Cricetulus griseus: one gene and its partners. The protein of the gene in region 1 purifies or fractionates together with the protein of each later gene. This does not show direct contact. Links are inferred from orthologs where the notes say so. Each region holds a gene or a part of one and is shown in the gene's direction. Other genes may lie near its edges.

Evidence for each region.
Region 2: the proteins of Esyt1 (region 1) and Atl3 purify together in Homo sapiens (affinity purification with mass spectrometry; 3 studies listed by BioGRID and IntAct, with this or other methods). This does not show direct contact. The link is inferred for Cricetulus griseus from reciprocal best matches to the Homo sapiens genes ESYT1 and ATL3.
Region 3: the proteins of Esyt1 (region 1) and Synj2bp purify together in Homo sapiens (affinity purification with mass spectrometry; 4 studies listed by BioGRID and IntAct, with this or other methods). This does not show direct contact. The link is inferred for Cricetulus griseus from reciprocal best matches to the Homo sapiens genes ESYT1 and SYNJ2BP.

The regions. Positions count from the first base shown.
Region 1 is NW_023276806.1:129,385,063-129,391,542, forward strand, and holds the end of Esyt1 (extended synaptotagmin-1), read left to right. Parts: coding exon 1-57; intron 58-134; coding exon 135-183; intron 184-269; coding exon 270-359; intron 360-436; coding exon 437-532; intron 533-711; coding exon 712-783; intron 784-866; coding exon 867-953; intron 954-2,115; coding exon 2,116-2,256; intron 2,257-2,559; coding exon 2,560-2,714; intron 2,715-2,801; coding exon 2,802-2,900; intron 2,901-2,984; coding exon 2,985-3,116; intron 3,117-3,359; coding exon 3,360-3,465; intron 3,466-3,652; coding exon 3,653-3,702; intron 3,703-4,012; coding exon 4,013-4,052; 3' UTR 4,053-4,424; downstream 4,425-6,480. UniProt on the Homo sapiens protein: Binds calcium (via the C2 domains) and translocates to sites of contact between the endoplasmic reticulum and the cell membrane in response to increased cytosolic calcium levels.
Region 2 is NC_048596.1:51,912,220-51,918,297, reverse strand, and holds part of Atl3 (atlastin-3), read left to right. Parts: intron 1-1,301; coding exon 1,302-1,516; intron 1,517-1,709; coding exon 1,710-1,850; intron 1,851-6,078. UniProt on the Homo sapiens protein: Atlastin-3 (ATL3) is a membrane-anchored GTPase that mediates the GTP-dependent fusion of endoplasmic reticulum (ER) membranes, maintaining the continuous ER network. It facilitates the formation of three-way junctions where ER tubules intersect.
Region 3 is NC_048598.1:122,194,266-122,200,343, forward strand, and holds part of Synj2bp (synaptojanin-2-binding protein), read left to right. Parts: intron 1-2,922; coding exon 2,923-3,059; intron 3,060-6,078. UniProt on the Homo sapiens protein: Regulates endocytosis of activin type 2 receptor kinases through the Ral/RALBP1-dependent pathway and may be involved in suppression of activin-induced signal transduction.

The DNA.
Region 1 (6,480 bases):
AGAGCTTGAGATTGAGGTCTTTGATAAGGACTTGGACAAGGATGACTTTCTGGGCAGGTAAGAGTCAAGAGTTCAGGGGGACAGGAAACGCTGGCCTGTATCACCCACCAGCCCCTTGTCTCCATTCTCCACAGGTATAAAGTGAGTCTCACCACAGTCCTCAACAGTGGCTTCCTTGATGAGGTGAGCATGAGGTGAGACCCATGCTGCCTCCTCCTCCTCACGCACCTGGTCTCATCCTCAAGACTTTTCCCTGCCTGTCTCCACAGTGGCTGACCCTGGAGGATGTTCCATCTGGCCGCCTGCACTTACGCCTGGAGCGTCTGACCCCTAGACCTACTGCTGCTGAGTTGGAAGAGGTGAGGACACGTGGGGACAGGATGGAGTGGGCTGAGCCCCCTGCCAGCTCCCACCCACGGCCCACTCTGTGTCTCAGGTGCTGCAGGTCAACAGCCTGATCCAGACCCAGAAGAGCTCAGAGCTGGCGGCAGCCCTGCTGTCTGTCTACTTGGAACGGGCAGAAGATCTGCCAGTAAGAGCAGCTCCCCATGCCTCCCAAGAGCAGTTCCCCATTCCTTTGCTTTGGCTTCATAGCCCCTCTTCAGGCTCCCTTGGGTTTGAGTGAGCCTTGGGGGTGGGGGCTATGAAGTGCAAATGGAGATGTGGTTATGCCTTTAATTTGTAAATCTGTGACCCATGCTGTCCCTCCAGCTCCGGAAAGGCACCAAGCCCCCCAGCCCATATGCTACTCTCAGCGTAGGAGAGACTTCCCATAAAACCAAGGTAGGCGCAGATGCTTTGTAACGGGATCCTTCACTGCTAAGAATGAGTGATCACCACTGACCATAACCCCTCTTCTCCAACAGACTGTTTCCCAAACGTCAGCCCCCATCTGGGAGGAGAGTGCCTCATTTCTCATCAGGAAGCCACATGCTGAGAGCCTGGAGCTTCAGGTACTCAACTCACTGCAGACTCCAACCACAGCTATTATAATCCCGGCACTCGGGAGGCAGAGGCATTCCGATCTCTGTGAGTTCGAGGGCAGCCTGGTCTATAAGAGCGAGTGCCAGGATAGGCTCCAAAGCCACAGAGAAACCCTGTCTTGAAACAAACAAACAAAACAAAACAAAATTTTAAAAAAATTATGAGCTGGACAGTGGTGGCCCACACCTTTAATCCCAGCACTCAGGAGGTAGAGTCAGGTGGATCTCTGAGTTCGAGGCCAGCCTGGTCTCCAGAGTGAGTTCTAGGACAGCCATGGCTACACAGAGGGAAAAAAAAAAAAAAAAAAAACAGTAGTGAGACAAAAAATAGAAGGTGTGTGTCATGTCAGCTCTTCTGTAAAGTTAGTAAGAGGGCAGGGAGATGTCAGCATGCATGAAACACAAGCTGGAAAGCCTAACGACCTGAGTTTGTTCTTTGGGACCTACTCCTAAAAGTGGTCTTCTGACAGCTACACTCAGAATCATGACAGTCATGCACTTATAACACTTAATAACATTCAAGTTTAAAAAGTCAGGAAATACTAAGAGATACAGGTGTATATACTAGTTAGAATTATAGAACAAAGCAAATGTTTTAAAATTTTATTTTAAAGGGTGGGTACCACCATGCCTGGCAATTTACTTTTAGTTTTTTTCATTCTTTTTCCCTCTCTGCTGGTACTACTGGTAAACCTGAGAAGGCTTATGAAGTAGAGACTACTTTAAGAAAGGAAAAGCTAGGCTGGGTGGTGGCTCCCGCCTTTTATCCCAGCACCGGGTGTGTATGGGGGTGTGGGAAGTGGGGGTGGGGTGGAGGTGGGGGACCGCAGAGGCAGGCAGATCTCTGTGAGTTCCAAGCCAGTCTGCTCTACAAAGTGAGTTTCAGGACAGCCAGGACTGTTACAGAGAGAAAAGCTAGGCGTGATGGCACACACCTGTAATCCCAGCACTGGGGAGGCAGCCTGGATGAGGCATATTCTCAGAAAGGGGTTTGTAGGGGGCGGGGGTAGGGGGCTAGCAGCTGTAACATTTATTCTGTTCCTCCAAAAGGTGACTCTCTCATCAAAACCACCCAAGTGTTTGGATCATAAATGCTGAGCTTCCATCATTTATCAGTGCATTTACCTCACAGGTTCGGGGTGAAGGGACTGGTACCCTGGGCTCCATATCCCTGCCTCTCTCTGAGCTCCTCCAGGCAGAGCGACTCTGTTTAGACAGATGGTTTGCACTCAGCAGTGGTCAGGGCCAGGTGCTGATGAGAGCGCAGCTAGGGGTAAGTGCTGGGGGGGGCAGGGGAGGGGCAGGAGGGGCTCAGGGCAGGGGGCTCAGGGCAGGGGCAGGAGGGCTCAGGGCCAGGGGAGCTAAGGGAGGGCAGGAGGGCTCAGGGCCAGGGGGGCTCAGGGCAGGGGCAGGAGGGCTCAGGGCAAGGGGGCTCAGGGCAGGGGCAGGAGGGCTCAGGGCAGGGGCAGGGGGACTCAGGGCAGGAGGGCTCAGCGTGGATCAATACCCAAAGGGTGGGAGCAGGGGTGTCCTTCTAGTGAGGAAACTGCCCAGCTCACCGCTCTCCTGTCTCCAGATCCTGGTGTCCCAGCACTCAGGAGTGGAAGCCCACAGCCACAGCTATAGCCACAGCTCTTCTTCACTCAATGAGGAACCCGAGGCCTCAGGGATACCCAGCCACGCCACTTCCCCAGTGCTGGAGGTCAGGCATCGCCTACCACATGGTGACAGGTAAGGGGACTGGGATGGAGATGGTATGCAGGCAAGAATATGAAGTTTGACTCCTAGACGCTATGCTGTCTGTCTGTCTTTCCACAGCCCCTCTGAGGCTCCTGTTGGGCCTCTGGGCCAGGTGAAACTGACAGTGTGGTACCACAGTGATGAACAAAAGCTGGTTAGCATCATCCACAGCTGCCGGTGAGACCCTGCCCACCTGTCCTCCTCTGCAGTCCCCACGTCCTTTGCAACCAGTGCTTCAGTGACCACATCCTTTTGTCACAGGGCCCTTCGACAAAATGGCCGTGATCTCCCAGATCCCTATGTGTCACTGCTGCTACTACCAGACAAGAATCGAGGCACCAAGAGGAAGACCTCACAGAAGAAGAGGACTCTCAACCCCGAGTTCAATGAACGGTCAGTGAATGGGTGATTTATTTTTTCTTCGAGACAGGGTTTCTCTATGGCTTTGGAGGCTGTCCTGGAACTAGCTCTTGTAGAACAGGCTGGTCTCAAACTCACAGAGATCCTCCTGGCTCTGCCTCCTGAGTGCTGGGATTAATGGCGTGTGCGAGAATGGGGGATATTAATGGGTGATATTTACATGGAGGGGTGAGGCTTTGGCTGGGCCCTGAGTTCTAATGTCTAGTGCCTTCACAGGTTTGAGTGGGAGCTGCCCCTGGATGGGTCTCTCAGGAGAAAGCTAGATGTTTCAGTGAAGTCAAACTCTTCTTTCATGTCACGAGAGCGTGAGCTTCTGGGAAAGGTAAGAGGGTGAGGAGGCAGCAAAAATTAAAGCTGCTAGAACCACAGCGTCCCATTAAGGAGACAGCCAGGGTGCCAGCTGGGACATGGTCCTATCCTCTTGCGGTGGTTCATGATCATGTGACAATGGGGTATGGTCTTTGGAAATGTCAAAATAACATCTTGCCCCCTGCCATCCTCCAACCCAGGTACAGCTGGATCTTGCGGAGATAGACCTCTCCCAGGGTGCAGCCCAGTGGTGAGTGTCTACAGAGCAGCGGGTGGGACTGGGTGGGTACAGTGGAGAAACCCAGTCACAGAAGAGGAAAGATGTAGTGAAAGCTGAGAACCATTCGCCCCCTCAGCGCAGAAGCCCTGGGCCATGCCTTTCACTTAGGAGAGATGACAACTGTTCCTGGTGGCTGGTGGCTGTAGTTCCAGCCTATGAGGAGCTGGAGAGTTGAGAGTCCATACAAGTTCCAGCCAGCCTGGGACAGACAGAATGAGACTGACAGAACAAAACAGATGCAAGAGTCTTAACTCTCCTGAGCTCTGTCCTTGTTTCCTAGGTATGACCTGATGGATGACAAAGATAAGGGCAGTTCCTAGGAGCTGGGGACAGCCCGACATTGCTCTGTCTTCTTGCCTTGCCTCTTGCCTCAGTGTGATGAGCCCACAGCTAGGGCTCCAGGGCTGAGCCTGAACCCTTTTGCCTTCTGGGCCCAAATCGGGGTCTTTGCCTGACCAAAGAGAATCATATGTAACCTTTACTGCACGGCCTTTCCCCTTGGGCTCCTGGGGCAGGGACCTAAGCTGGCTACTTCCTCTTCTGCCTGCACCTCACTCTCCCTTCCCGACTCCTCAGGGCCTCATGCACCTGTGCCTGGCCACTGGTAGCACCAGCAGTGGCACCAAATCATGCCAAATACAGCTTTTGGAAAGCTCTTTTTTACATAATAAAAAATATACAGAAAAACAATGCTTCATGAACTTGCATGTCATCCTTGCACAGTGCCATGCTAAGAGCTAAGTTAGTCTGTGCTGCTGAGTTGAGCCTAAGGTTTCCTGTGACTGCCAGGAGCCACCAGGGAGAACAAACACAGGTGTGAAGGTAGGCAGGCTCCGCTCGCCTCTTGGACTGCATGTAGAAAATGTACGGCTTCACCCACACCGTACTCAGTCTACTCTTGGAAAATATACGCGCTATGACGGCTACATCAGTCTGATTCACTGTGCCTCAACTGGGAACACTGAGGTCTGCCTCCAGGCCATTAGAAATTGGCCTGGAAGGGCTGGAGAGATGGCTCAGAGGTTAAGAGTACTGGCTAGTCTTCCAAAGGTCCTGAGTTCAATTCCCAGCAACCACATGGTGGCTCACAACCATCTGTAATGAAATCTGGTGCCCTCTTCTGGCTTGCAGGCACACATGCAGACAGAACACTTTTCTTTAAGAAAAGAAAAAAGAGGCTGGGTGTTGGTGGCACATGCCTTTAATCCCAGCTCTTGGGAGGCAGAGGCAGGCAGATCACTGTGAGTTGGAGGCCAGCCTGGTTTACAAAAGCTAGTTCCAGGACAGCTTCCAAAGCCACAGAGAAATCCTGTCTCAAAACAACAACAACAACAACAACAAAAAAAAAACCAAAAAACAACAACAAAACAAACAAAAAGATCCATTCACTTAGTAGTTAAAGCCTATGAAACTGCAGTAACCAAGGGAATTGGCCCACTGAGCTGGAAAGGGCTCATGTGTGAAGTATCGGAAGGGCAGACTGGAGCTTATCTACTGACCACTGCCGTCTGCCATCCAGAAATCTGCAAGTCCCACCACAGCACCAGGTTCATAAAGTCAAGGATAGCAGCCATATCCAAAGAGGCTTCAGGGCCACCTGAGTCCTGAGAAATATTTCACGTCTGGATCTACTCACCTTGCAAGAGTTATCTTTTCATTTGCTGAAACGGTCTCCTGTACCCCAGGCTGCCAAGGAAGGCTCCAACTTCACGTCTTCCTTCTAAGTGCCGGGATCACAGGTGTGCACTACCACAACTGGCCTGTTTGTCTTAATAAAAAACAAAGCAACAACAGAGTCACATGTTAGCCCAGGCTGGCCTCAAACTCATGGTAGCCCTGCTGCAGCATCCTCCTGGAGAGCTAGAGTTACAAGCATGACCTCTGAGCCATCTCTCTGAGCCATCTCTCCAGCCCAATAATAAATAAATCTTAAGCCGGGTGTTGGTGGTGCACGCCTTTAATCTCAGCACTTGGGAGGCAGAGGCAGGCGAATCTCTGTGAGTTTGAGGCCAGCCTGGTCTACAGAGCGAGTGCCAGGATAGGCTCCAAAGCTACACAGAGAAACCCTGTCTCGAAAAACAAAACAAAACAACAAGAACAACAAAAAGAAGTCTCACTTTGTGGCCCTGGCTGGCCTGGAATTCACAGAGATCTGCCTTAGGGGCAGGAGATCTCTGAGGAGCTCCAGGCCAGCCAAGGCTGTATAGGGGGACCTTGTCTCAAAAACCCAATTTCAAATGAAAGTATTTGAGTTAACTGGACCCCAAGGAAACATCTCCCTTCCGTCATAGCATCTGTTTCAGATCTTTACCATGTTTAGATTCATCTCCTCCCCTTCCTCCTTAGCAAGTCAAATCCCCTCACCGACTTCAGGGTGAAAATGTAAACGGTATGCATGGAAATGCTCCCATCCCTCAGGTCTCTTGTGTCCCTGGACACTAACTGTAGTGTGATATCAGCTCTTGACTTTCTCCAGGTATCCATTCATTCTACAAATATTTCAGGACTGCAATGGACCAGGGGACCTGGTTCTTCTTGATTGTGGACGGTAACTGTGTATGCATGTTCGAGCATGCGTGTGCATGGTGGAAGAGTGCATAAGAGACCAAGGGAATAGCCAGAAATAGGTGGCCCACGCCTTAATCCCAGCACTCGGGAGGCAGAGGCAGGCAGATCTCTGTGAGTTCAAGGCCAGCCTGGTCTACAGAGTGAGTGCCAGGATAGGCTCCAAAGCTATACAGAGAAACC
Region 2 (6,078 bases), on another chromosome or scaffold:
TATTGGTTTTCAGTTTTTTTTTTGTTTTTTTTTTTTTTTTTTTTTTTTGAGACAGGGTTTCTTTGTGTAACAGTCCTGGTTGTCCTGGATCTCACTGTGTAGATCAGGCTGGCCTTGAACTCACAGAGATCTGCCTGCCTCTACTTTCCGAGAGTTGGGATTAAAGACATGTGCCACTTGCCTGATTCATATCCTTTTTACTGGTATCTTCTTTTAAATATTTTTATTACATTTTGTGTTGGTATGTATGTGTGTGAGTACATATGTTCCATGGTGTGCATATGGAGGTCAGAGAACAACTTAACAAGTCTCTTCTCTCCTTCTGTATCGAAATCAGGCCATTTCAGGCTCTTTACATCTTTTTAAAAATATTTTTGGGGTCAGTGAGATAGTTCATCTGATAAAAATACTTGAATGCTTGGATTCCATGGTGGAAGGAGGAAAGAACAGTTCTGAAAGTTGTCCTGTGATCTCCACTTTAACATTAGCACATGTTCATTATGTGTAATATTTGGTTTCATGATAGCATTTTCATACATATATAGTATATTTACATTTTCTTTTCCTTGGTTTTTGTTTGTTTGTTTGTTTGTTTTTCCAGACAAGGTTTCTCTGTGTAGCATTGGAGGCTGTCCTGGAACTTACTCTGTAGACCAGGCTGGCCTCTAACTCAGTGAGGTCTTCTTGCCTCTGCCTCCCAAGTGCTGGGATTAAAGGCGTGCTCCACTACCGCTGGGCTGATAGATCCAGTCTTGCCCAGCTCTTGTGCTGGTAGTCACAGCTGCTATGAAATGGAGTGCAGGTGTGATGCCATGTATTGAGAAGACATTCCACCTCATGCTGCTCTGTGTTCTGCCTCTTAATATTCTTTCTCTCTTGTCTTCCATGGCAGAGGAGGTGATACAGATTCTCCTATGGCTGAATGTTCAACAGCCCTTTATTTTCAACTCTCTGATCAGTTATGAATGAGTCTCTGCAGTTTCTGCTGTTACTGGGGCATTTTTTTTTAGTGTGAGCGAGTGTGTGTGTGTTTAGCACACAGGCACACACATCCCGCATGTGGGAATCAGAGGACAGCTTTGGGTGTTGGTTCTCTTCTTTAAGCATGTGGACCTTGAGGACTGAACTCAGGTCCTCTTGCAGGCCCCTGGGGTCTTTTAATTAATGAATATTCTTAGTGTTAATTAGTACCCTCACATACTCTCTTTTATGGTTATCATATATGTACCTTGTTAAAGCTTTTGTTCTCTTCATGGTGTGTGTGTGTAAAACTTAATTTTTTGGTCTTTAAATGTGCATAGGTGATGCCATGGAGAGTGGAAAACCTGGTCCAGTGCAAGTTGTTTTGGTTCACAAAGAGCAGCATTCCTTTGAGCTAGAAGAGAGTGCCTTGGCCAGCATCCTCCTGCAGGATCACATCCGAGATCTTGATGTGGTAGTAGTATCAGTGGCTGGCGCCTTTCGAAAGGGCAAATCCTTCGTTCTGGACTTTATGCTCCGATACTTATATGCTCAGGTAAGGAAGAATTAGTTTATTTCAAAGTAGAAAGTGAGCAAAATAAGCTCATTACTTAAGATTTGGTGAGAGGTCTGGGCATGTAGTGTAATGATAAAGTGCTTGCCCAATGTGTGTAAAGCCCTGTGTTTTATCTCCAGTGCTTCAGAAAGCAAAACCAAAGATGTAGTAGAACGTCTTATTTCTTTTGTAGAAAGTTGGTCATTCAAATTGGTTGGGTGACCCAGAAGAACCACTGACAGGATTTTCATGGCGAGGAGGCTCTGACCCAGAAACCACTGGGATTCAGATTTGGAGTGAAGTTTTCACTGTGGAGAAGCCAGGTGGGAAAAAGGTAAGGATATTAAAAAAATAAAAGAAAGAAAAAGACTGAGATGTTAAAACAGAATAACCAAATGAAACTTAACATTTGTTTTTTCTTGATAGTGGGTCTGGAACTCACTAGGTACCATAGGCTGGCCTTGAATCCTGAGAACCCTGCCTCAGCCACTTTTGTGCTGTGATCATAGGAGCATACTACCAGACTTGGTTCTAGATGAGAACTTTGACATATTCTGTGTTAATTCAATCAAAAAATACTTTTGATCTTTTATGTCCATGGTAATTTCTATGTCCTAATGTAATTGCTTTTCTTTTTTTTTTTTTTTGTTTTAAAGATTTATTTATTATGTATGCAGCGTTCTGCCTACATGCCATAAGATGGCACCATGTCTCAATATAGGTGGTTGTGAGCCATCATGTGGTTGCTGGGAATTGAACTCTGAACCTCTGGAATAGCAGCCAGTGCTCTTAACCTGTGAGCTATCTCTCCAGCAGCTGTAATTGCTTTTCTGTTTTTTTTTTTTTTTTTTTTTTTTTTTGACAGTAAATCCTACAATGTACTGTCTAGCTCCTTTACTAAGTAGAAATGTTGATTCAGGGAGGTATCAGTATATATTTTATAATTAAAATGTTTGCTTTGTAAAATTGACTACTCATCCAAACCTCCCTTCCATCTTTGAATTCCTTTTAATGAAAAAGCCTCTCTGCTGTTTAAAAAAAAAAAAAAAAAGGTGTTATAAAACAAAAGAAATCAGGCGTTGGTGGTGCAAGCCTTTAATCCCAGCACTCGGGAGGCAGAGGCAGAGGCAGGTGGATCTCTGTGAGTTTGAGGCCAGCCTGGTCTCCAGAGCGAGTGCCAGGATAGAAACCCTGTCTTGAAAAACCAAAAACCAACCAACCAAACAAACAAAAAACAAAAGAAAGCAACTATTAGGCTATATGTAGGAGGGCTACCACTTGGAGGCCAGCCTGGGCTTCCTCTTTTTTTTTTTTTAGTTTTTCGAGACAGGGTTTCTCTGTGTAGCTTTGGAGTCTGTCCTGGCACTCCCTCTGTAGACCAGGCTGGCTTTGAACTCAAGAGATTGGCCTGCTTCTGCCTCCTGAGTGCTGGGATTAAAGTCGTGCACCACCACCTCCCAGCCAGCCTGGGCTGTTTAAAATGTACATAAAGGAGCTTTGGCATGGTGACTTATACCTGTAATCCCTATACTCAAGAGGCTGAAGTAGGAAGATTGGCACACATTTGAGGTCAGCATGGGCTATAAATTGTGGGACACTGTTTCACAAACAACAAAAAAGTGATTTGGAAGTTTTACTGTGCTAGTGTGTGCTGTGAGACCATTTCTCTCAATGGTGAGTACACATGTAGCTTCTGCTCTTCAGAGAGCTTGAACATAGCCCCTTGTTTCCTCTATAGTCTCAATTTTCTAATTGACAGATACGTGTGACAGTGAACTTTTGTTAAATTGGGATATCATGCTGATTCAGAATTCATTCTGATTCAGTGGTTTTTATATACATAGAGCTGAACAGGTGTCATCACCATCTGACTCCAGAACATTTCACTACCTCAGAAGAAGCCTCCATTATTGTCAGCAGTCACTGTCCATTCCATCTTCTTCCAGCCCCTTGTCTCTCTAATTTACTGTTGACTGAGCTGTTAGGAAGTACGGCTGAATGGAGAGCTAGGTGTGCTTGTATTCACCCTCCTTTCTCTCCCTTTGTGTTTTCTCCCTTTCCCTGCCTTCCTGTCTTTTCTGATATTGGGGATTGAACCTAGTGCTATGTGTATGCCAGGCAAATGTTCTAGCTCTTGGTTACATCTCTAGCATCTCCATGGAGCTGTCTATTCTAAGCATATGATACAAATGAAATTATATGCTTTTTGGGTCTGTCCTCTCCATTCATCCTAATTCTCTTATAGCATTCAATAGTTCTTTATTCCCTTTCATGGCTGAACAGTAAGTATTACATTGTATGAAAATACCATACTTTTTTTTATTTATCAGTTGTGAATGTTCGGGCTGCTTATTATAAATAATGCTGCCTGTACATGCCTCTAATATTAGTACTTGGGAGGCTGAGGCATGAGTTTCAGGGTAGCTTGGACTGCAATGTGAGATTCTGTCTAAACTAACTTCTACCCTAAAATAAACAAAAACCCAGAGCTGGGGAGTTGGCTCAGTGGCTCAAGTGCATTTGTTGCTGTTCTTTTAGAGGACCTGGGATTGATTCCCAGCCCCCACATAGTGTCTTAAAACCATCTGTAATTCCAGTCTCAGGGTGTCCAGTACCCTCTTGTAACCTCAGTGGGCACCACACATGTGGTGCACAGATATACATGCAAATGAAACAGTCATATACATAAAATAATAAACGCATCTCCAAACCTTATAAAAATACTACCTGGCACCGAGTGGTGGTGGTGCATGCCTTTAATTCCAGCACTCGGGAGGCAGAGGCAGGCGGATCTCTATGAGTTCGAGGCCAGTCTGGTCTACAGAGCGAGTGCCAGGACAGGCTCCAAAGCTACACAGAGAAACCCTGTCTCGAAAAACAAAAAAACAAACAAACAAAAAAATACTACCTGCCTTGAACATGTATGTATAAATTTTTCTAAGATTGAAGCTTTCTTGTGTATATCCAAGTGTTTGCTTTTTGTGTCTGTGACAAATAGCTGAGATACACAACTTAAGGGAGGAAAGATTTATTTCTGTCACAACTTGAGGATTTTCAGTCCTCAGCTGTTCACTGCTGTGACCTGAGGCTAAGCTGAACATGACGGGAAGCATGTGATGAGGTAGGGTTGAGTATCATGGTGGGAAGCCAGTGGTGGAGCAGAGCTTGCTTTGCAGTGGACAGGAAGCTGGAGACAGACAGGAGGGGCCAGGCAAACATATGCCTCGGAGTTGTGTCCAAAGTCCCTAATACTCGTTCAATATGAACTCGTCAGTGGGTCACCATTAATGAGCTGAGTGCCCTCACACTGCAGTTACCTCTTAATATGAGATTCAGCAGCTGAGGACTTAAGTCCTCTCAGCAAAAGAGCTTGGGGAAAAATGCTGTGTGTGTTTCTGTGTCACATGGCAATTCTGTAACTAACTTAATTATTATTTTTTAATTTATTATTTTTTATGTGTATGGGTTAGTTATTCCTGCATGTATTTCTGTACACCATGTGCATGCAGTGCCTATAGAAGCCAGAAGAGGGCATTAGATCCTCTGAACCAGGGTTTTGGATGGTTGTGAGCCCTGTATGTCGATGCTGGGAATCAAACTAAGGTCATCTGGAAGAGCAGCCAGTGCTCCTAACCACTGAATTACTCCAGCCTGTGACTACTTTAAAAAAGATGCCTAATACCTTCTAAAGAGAGCTCTACTAACCTATGTGCAAATTAGCCATGCAGGAAGCTCTAGTTTCTACATCTTTCCAGTCCCTGATACTGTTTTTTTTTTTTTTCTTTTGAGTGGGATAGATTTAAAATCAAAGCTGGCCTCCAATTTGATACCTTAGTCTCCTGAGTCCTGGGATTACAGGTGTGCCCCAATATGCTTGGTTTATTTGTCCTTTTAATGTATGTTAACTTATTGATGGCCTTGTATACACTTCTGAATAGCCCCAGATCCTTCTTTGTCTTAAGACCTCTCTCTCTCTCTCTCTCTCTCTCTCTCTCTCTCTCTCTCTCTCTCTCTGTGTGTGTGTGTGTGTGTGTGTGTGTGTGTGTGTGTATGTGTGTATTCCTGTGTTGGTGTACATGTATGTGTTGAGGCCATAGGAGAACCTCAGACTTTGGTTTCATCCTTAGGAATGTTATTTCTCTCTTTTAAGACAATGTTTCATTGGTCTGGAGTTTACCAATTAAGCCAGACTGTTTGCTAGGGAGCTGCAGGGTTCCTCCTGTTTCTTCCTTCCCAGTGTTGGGATTACAAGCACACACTATCAAGTGCAGGATTTTCATATGGGTTCTGGGGAATACAAACTCATTTTATAAAGTAAGTGCCTTATTGAAAGAGCTGTCTCTTCTCCAGGTGTGTGTGTGTGTGTGTGTGTGTGTGTGTGTGTGTGTGTGTGTGTGTGTGTATGTGTAATAGCCAGCTTAGGGGTAAAGTGGTAAATTATTGTGGTTTTGTATTATATATATACACATATATGTATTATAATTCATTTGTATTTTACTAGTGATTAATGGCATTGAACATTTTTCAGGTACTAAGATCCGTTGCACTTCTTTTGAGTAATA
Region 3 (6,078 bases), on another chromosome or scaffold:
TTAGGTCTTGCTGGTGTAGAATCCCTAGACTCTGGTGGTATCATATAAGTCTTTCTGATGTTGAATGTGTTCTTATTCTGTCATCTTCCCATCCCTTCTTCCAGGGGGTACAGGTGGGGTCTCTCCCTCCTCTGGTGGGTATGGGTTCAAGGCTGTATCCTCTCCTCTCTCCTGGAGGGTGCAGAGGCAAGACAGGCTGCTGATGCTGGATGCTTTGTTCTGCCTCCAGGTCCTTCTGGGGGATTTGGTGGCAGGAAGGGTCTACAATTACTGTTTTTCAGATTTTATTACTGGGGTCTTAACAGTTACCTTTGAGGGAGAGAGGATAGAATTCATAATCCTTATTTTCTAGAAAAGAAAGGAAATCAGACTTAAACTGATTTGCTTCAGTTCACATCTGGTAAGTTATGAAGTTGAACTTGAAACTAATTCTTCTGATTTATGCAGTATCTTAAATGACAGGGAAAAGGATACACTTGTTTGTGGTTAAAGTCAGAACCGAATAGGTTAGTTCAATTTTGCTTTCTGTCTTTACCAGGAAATAGTATAGTAGCTGACCACTTGTAAATGATCAGTGATTTTTATTGAACAAATAGACTAGCAAGTATCTAAATACATATATTGCTAAGATTTCATCTGTTTATTGGCAGTACTAGGTATTGCTCAGCATGCTAGGCAAGTGCTCTATCACAGCCCCAAGGATGAACTGTAATGTCACTACTCACTGCTATGGTAACTCATTCATTCCTGCAAAGTTTTAAGGTATAGATAAGTTCATTTATGAAAAGTTCTTTAGTTAATCTAAGAGTTCTTATTTTAAGTGGTTTGGTTTACTTGAACAGAAATAACAATGTGTTAAGTAAATGTACCACTGTGATGTGGTATTAGGGGATAAATAATAGACTGCACTTTCGAATAATAGATCTCAGTAAGGTTTCTTTTACCGCTTTTTAGATGCTGTTCTATAGCTTTAAATAACCTGTAACAAAGTCCATTTGGCAAATCACTGTGTTTCATTTGGCCACTTCACATTTGTTCTTCATTCTCAAGATTTGCAAAGATAGAAGCTGTTTGGTGATAAGACTCAAACCATAGTGAAAATGTTGAATTTCAGTGGAAGATTTTTCTGTAGTTTGTTTCAGCAGTGAGAGAAACTGATTGTCCTCAGCCCTTGCTCAAACCTGTCAGTATTTTTAAGTCTTTATGAAGCCTTCCATGATCTGGTTTTTGCTACCTTACCAGCCCCTCCCCACTTAACCTACATTCATGAATTTAACTTCAGGGAATTATGTGAAAAATGAATAAATAATTTAGAGTTCCTGTTTTTCCCACCCTACCCTTCAGGGCTATGAAAACAGTCTTCTAGAAGTAGTTCTTTCTGTTGTGTACCATAAATCCCCAAACGAATGCAAACAAAAACCACAAACCTATCTGGTGGCAGAGACTCCATGTACAAGGTATGCTCCTTAAATCATAAACTTCCTGATGTTTCCTCTTTGTGAAATTTCTCATTAAATTGTGGATTGGTTTGATGGTGCTGTGTTGGTACTTTGATTCTTAGCTTCATTCTACCCATGGAAAGAACTTTAGAGACAGCCCACATATATCTCTTTTGTGATATATTTTCTACTGAGATCATTAGGAGACTTGCGACTGGCTTTCCCTTCCCACTGCACCAATATGTTTTTGTTTTTTAAATTGTTTCCAACTGTCTTCCTTCTCTTTGTACTGTGTCCCTGAGTTATGACTGCAGCTACATAAAGAAGTGAGGTTCCTTTTTCTCTCTTTATTTCTTTTTGTTTTCTTTCTTCCCCTTCTCTCCCTGTTTTTTCCTTTTTTACATACAAGTTTTGTATGTTTCCTCAAAGAAATAAATGATTTCTGTAGAGTAAAATCCTTGTCACAGCTTAGTGACTGGTTCATGAAAACAAAATTGTAATTAGTTATCCAGCTAACTTGTTTGCCTGCTGTATTTTATTATAATAAGGATACTTAGATATGCTGTATTAACAAATTTGAAAATAAACCATATGCTATTATTTTGGGTAGACACAGTCTTGTACAGCAGATCTCTAGAACTTTTCTTCTGTAACTGAAATATTTTACTCTTGTAAACTAATTAAACTCAGAGAAACAAGGCATAGCATGGAGAACAACAGGAGGAGGGAAGTACCTAACTGCAAATCAGTAAGGAATTATTTTTTTTCTGGCTATCATTGTGTGCAGGTATGTGATCAGTTGTACTTGACATAGAAAGAAAAGAGTGAATTTGGTGACTTGATTCTCTTGCAAAGAACAATTGTTTTTCTAGTTCTGCAGTTTCCTGCTAACAACCACATCACTACTGTCCTACCCCAGTACAAAATAGAAAAGATAAACTACCAAGATTGCTTTTTCCAAAACAGTAGCATATATAGGTGTTCCCAGATCTTGATAGAAAACACATGTGAAGGAGAGGCTTCAACTAGCAGTTATTTTCTCACTAAATTGATAACATTTTGTTTGATAATTAGTTTAAGAAACAAAACTTCTTTTTATGAGCACAGCTAACCCTGTTACATTAATATAGGAATACCAGGATTTGGGTCATCTGAATGTCACCAACAGCATCAAAATCAAGTGTGAGCAGATGCACTTCTACCTTACAAGACTCCGCATTACTGTGTCCCACACTGTGTAGAGCTCAGTGTATTTGACTAGTCCTTTTGATCACTGTGTATGTACTGAGTGCTGCCTATTTCAAGTCAGCAGTGTAGGTACTTTGGCCTTTGTTGATAATGACTTTGCTAATGACTGTGTTAGCTACCTCACAGTCTGAATTGTCAGCTTCTCCTCCCCACTAGACCATGTTGCTCTCCTTTCTTCTCTAATCTTTCTTTCTTCTTCATCCCCCTCTCCTTCACTCCTCCATGATTTTCTCAGGGCTGGGCTTCAACATCGTCGGTGGGACAGATCAACAGTATGTCTCCAACGACAGTGGCATCTACGTCAGCCGCATCAAAGAGGATGGGGCTGCAGCCCGGGATGGGCGGCTCCAGGAGGGTGATAAGATCCTCTCGGTGAGAAATGCCTTCGGCTCCCTTTGCTATACTTTGCTCCCCTGACCTCCTCTGACCCCTTCCTTGGGAAGATTCTAGCCTGCCTGTTTGAAAATGAAAATACCTAAATTGTATCATTGAATGGGAAGAACATTGATCAATCTTTCAACTTTACTACTGGGCTTGGAGGATAATATTATTCTTGTTTGACAGACAAGGCAAATTTAACATAGAATGTGAAGTTACTTGCCCTAGTTCAAAAAACACAAAGCAAGTAGAGATGAAGCACTGGTTTGGAGGAAGAGTTAAGCTCACAGTTTTCACCTTTCTCTAGTTAACTTTATCACCTCTGTTTTGTTGATTAAACTACTGATTTTTGCCTTGTCTTGTCATATTGTCAGCCCTTAGTAATTGTCTTAACTTCAAAAAAAGAGGTAAGGATTAAGTTTCTTCCTTAAAATCAGGGCCCTTTCCCATTATTAAGATGAAAAATTGAAATAGAGTTTGTATATCTGTCAGTTGTGCTCCCATTTCATCCTGTTAATGTCTCTTACTAATCATGAATTTTATTCATTTTTTTATCTACTCAAAGACAGTAATTAAATTAAAAAAAAAACCTTTCCATGTCTTAGTACAGTGCTCAACATAGGCTTTTAACAAATGAGAAAATTCATGCAAGCTTAGAAAGGTTGACTAACTAATACAGTCATATGGGCTCAGTCCCTTAGCCTTTAAATTTTTTTGTTATTATTATTATTATTATTAGTGTGTGTGTGTGTGTGTGTGTAGGGGCATATGTGCACATGAGTGCTGGTGCCCATGGAAGCAAGAGGTATTGATCCTCCTGGAGCTTGAGTTACAGGCAATTATAAGTTGTCCCATGTGATTGCTAGGAACTGAACTCAGGTCCTCAGAAAGAGCACTACATGTTTTTAACTGCTGAGCCATCTCTCCAGGTCCAGAACCTTAGTTTTAGAATAAATTGAATGTTTCTAAAGTAAATCAGAATTCAGGCAAAATAAAACTCTTATTCCTGGATGCATGTTTTCATTTCTGTTCTACCTTACTGACTATAGTGTCATTATTATACTATTAGTTGTGGAAGTTGGGAAAGGTTAGATCATGCTATAGATTTTTTAAAATTAATGTTTTGGGCTGTTATTTTTCAGCTTATTTGTATGGAAATAACACACATAATTGGTATAAAGAATGGGAAAGTACTGAGAGGGTGAATTATTATCAAGGATTTCCTGGGAGTTAGACCTGGCTACAAAGGGCTGTCCTCAAATTAAGAGAAATTTGAAGTCCGATAGGACTTTTAGCAGAAGTGCCCTGTTTCCTCATGTGCTGTGGTCTAAAGAAGAAAAACTGTTTCCTACTTTGCCTCTTGAATTGAATAGGGCAAGAGGGCTAAACTGGTAAAAGGCTGAAGTAAATGAAGAGTAGACCAAGACAAGATTTGATTAAGAGATAATTATTATATCAGAGACTTGATTTAGAACTTCCATAAAACAGCAATATTCTTTTTAAAGTTCTTATTACAGTTTTGTTTTGGATTTTCTCTTTTGAATTACCTGTCATAGAGTTCATTTGATTAGTGATAAAAGTCGTATATGTGAAGTCTCCTGGTCATCTTAGATGCTAGCTTATTGGGTGGATACTTCCCTGCCATTCAGTTCATTTGGTAGCAGTATATGAAGACAGGAAGAATGTATACCTTTTTTTTTTTCATTTGACATATAAGATTTGAGAGATCTGGTTCAGTTTTGAATGTCTCCTTAGGAAGCCAGGCATGGGGACACACACCTAAAGTCCTCCCATACTCAAAAGGTAAAGCAGGAACATTTTGAGTTCAAGTCAATTGTGAATTACTTAGCAAGATCCTGTCTCAAAAAAGAGATACACATAAATCCAGGACAAGTAGTTATGAAAGCTTATAAATTAAGAATCTTAAGAATGTGTTCAATATATAAGTGCCATGGATGGCATTATTTTGGTCCATCTCACTGACTGTTTGGCATGTTTCAGCCCATGAAGCTTTTCCTAGTCCTTCTACATTAGACTGCAAGATAGGGATAGTGATTAATAATGAAGAATTTAGGAACAGGTATTTTGTCATTCTCAGAAGAAAGACATTGTAAAATACAAACCAACTTTGCAGTAGTAGAAATAAGAAAAACTGTGAGTGGGTTGTTAAAGGTACAGTGTGTAATTAGTATTTTACACAGAAATCACAATCTCTCAAACACTATCCCCTTGAGTGAAGAGAAATTTGAAAAGTATAGGGTTCAGTATAAGGCTTAAAGAGAGAGGCATGTTTGGAAATCTCTGCTTAAAGGCAGGTTATCTAAAAAAGAATTATAAGCAATTTTTAAGCACAAATGACAACTTTTAATGTAATCTTGTTTAATATTATAGTATAATATAGTGGGTTTTAATATTAGAGTATAATATAATGGGTATAATGATTATGCACATTTTCCAGCTAAGGAAACTGAGGCTTGATGAAGTCAGGTGGTTTTACAAGTGACATAACTAGCTTGGGGAAATAAAACTTCCATTTATCTAAATTTGGATCCTTTGTTAAAACTAATATTAACACTATATTGTCTTCCTAAAAAGCAAGTGAATAAGTAAGATTAACTACTCTAAAAAGGAAGTTACATAGTGAAATAACTAGTAGTTTATAAAAGAACTGAAATTAACCTTTCTATCAAGGGTAGAATTAATGGTATACTCCATCTTTAATCCCAACACTCAAGAGGTAGAGGCAGGAGGACCTCTATGAGTTCAAGGCCAGCCTGGTCTGCAGAGCAAACTCCAGGACAGCTAGAGCTGCACAAAGAAATCCTCTTTAAAAAAAAAAAAAAAAAAAAAGGAAAGAAGGAAAGAAAGAAAAGAAAAAACAGCCACACAAACAAAAATAATGCAAACAGTCTCTGTGGCTTACAGGCTATGACAGCCTCTTTCATCTCCAAAGTGAACCTTGTAGGCTATTACTTTTAAAAGGTTCCATCTATTTAACTTGCTTCATCCCTGG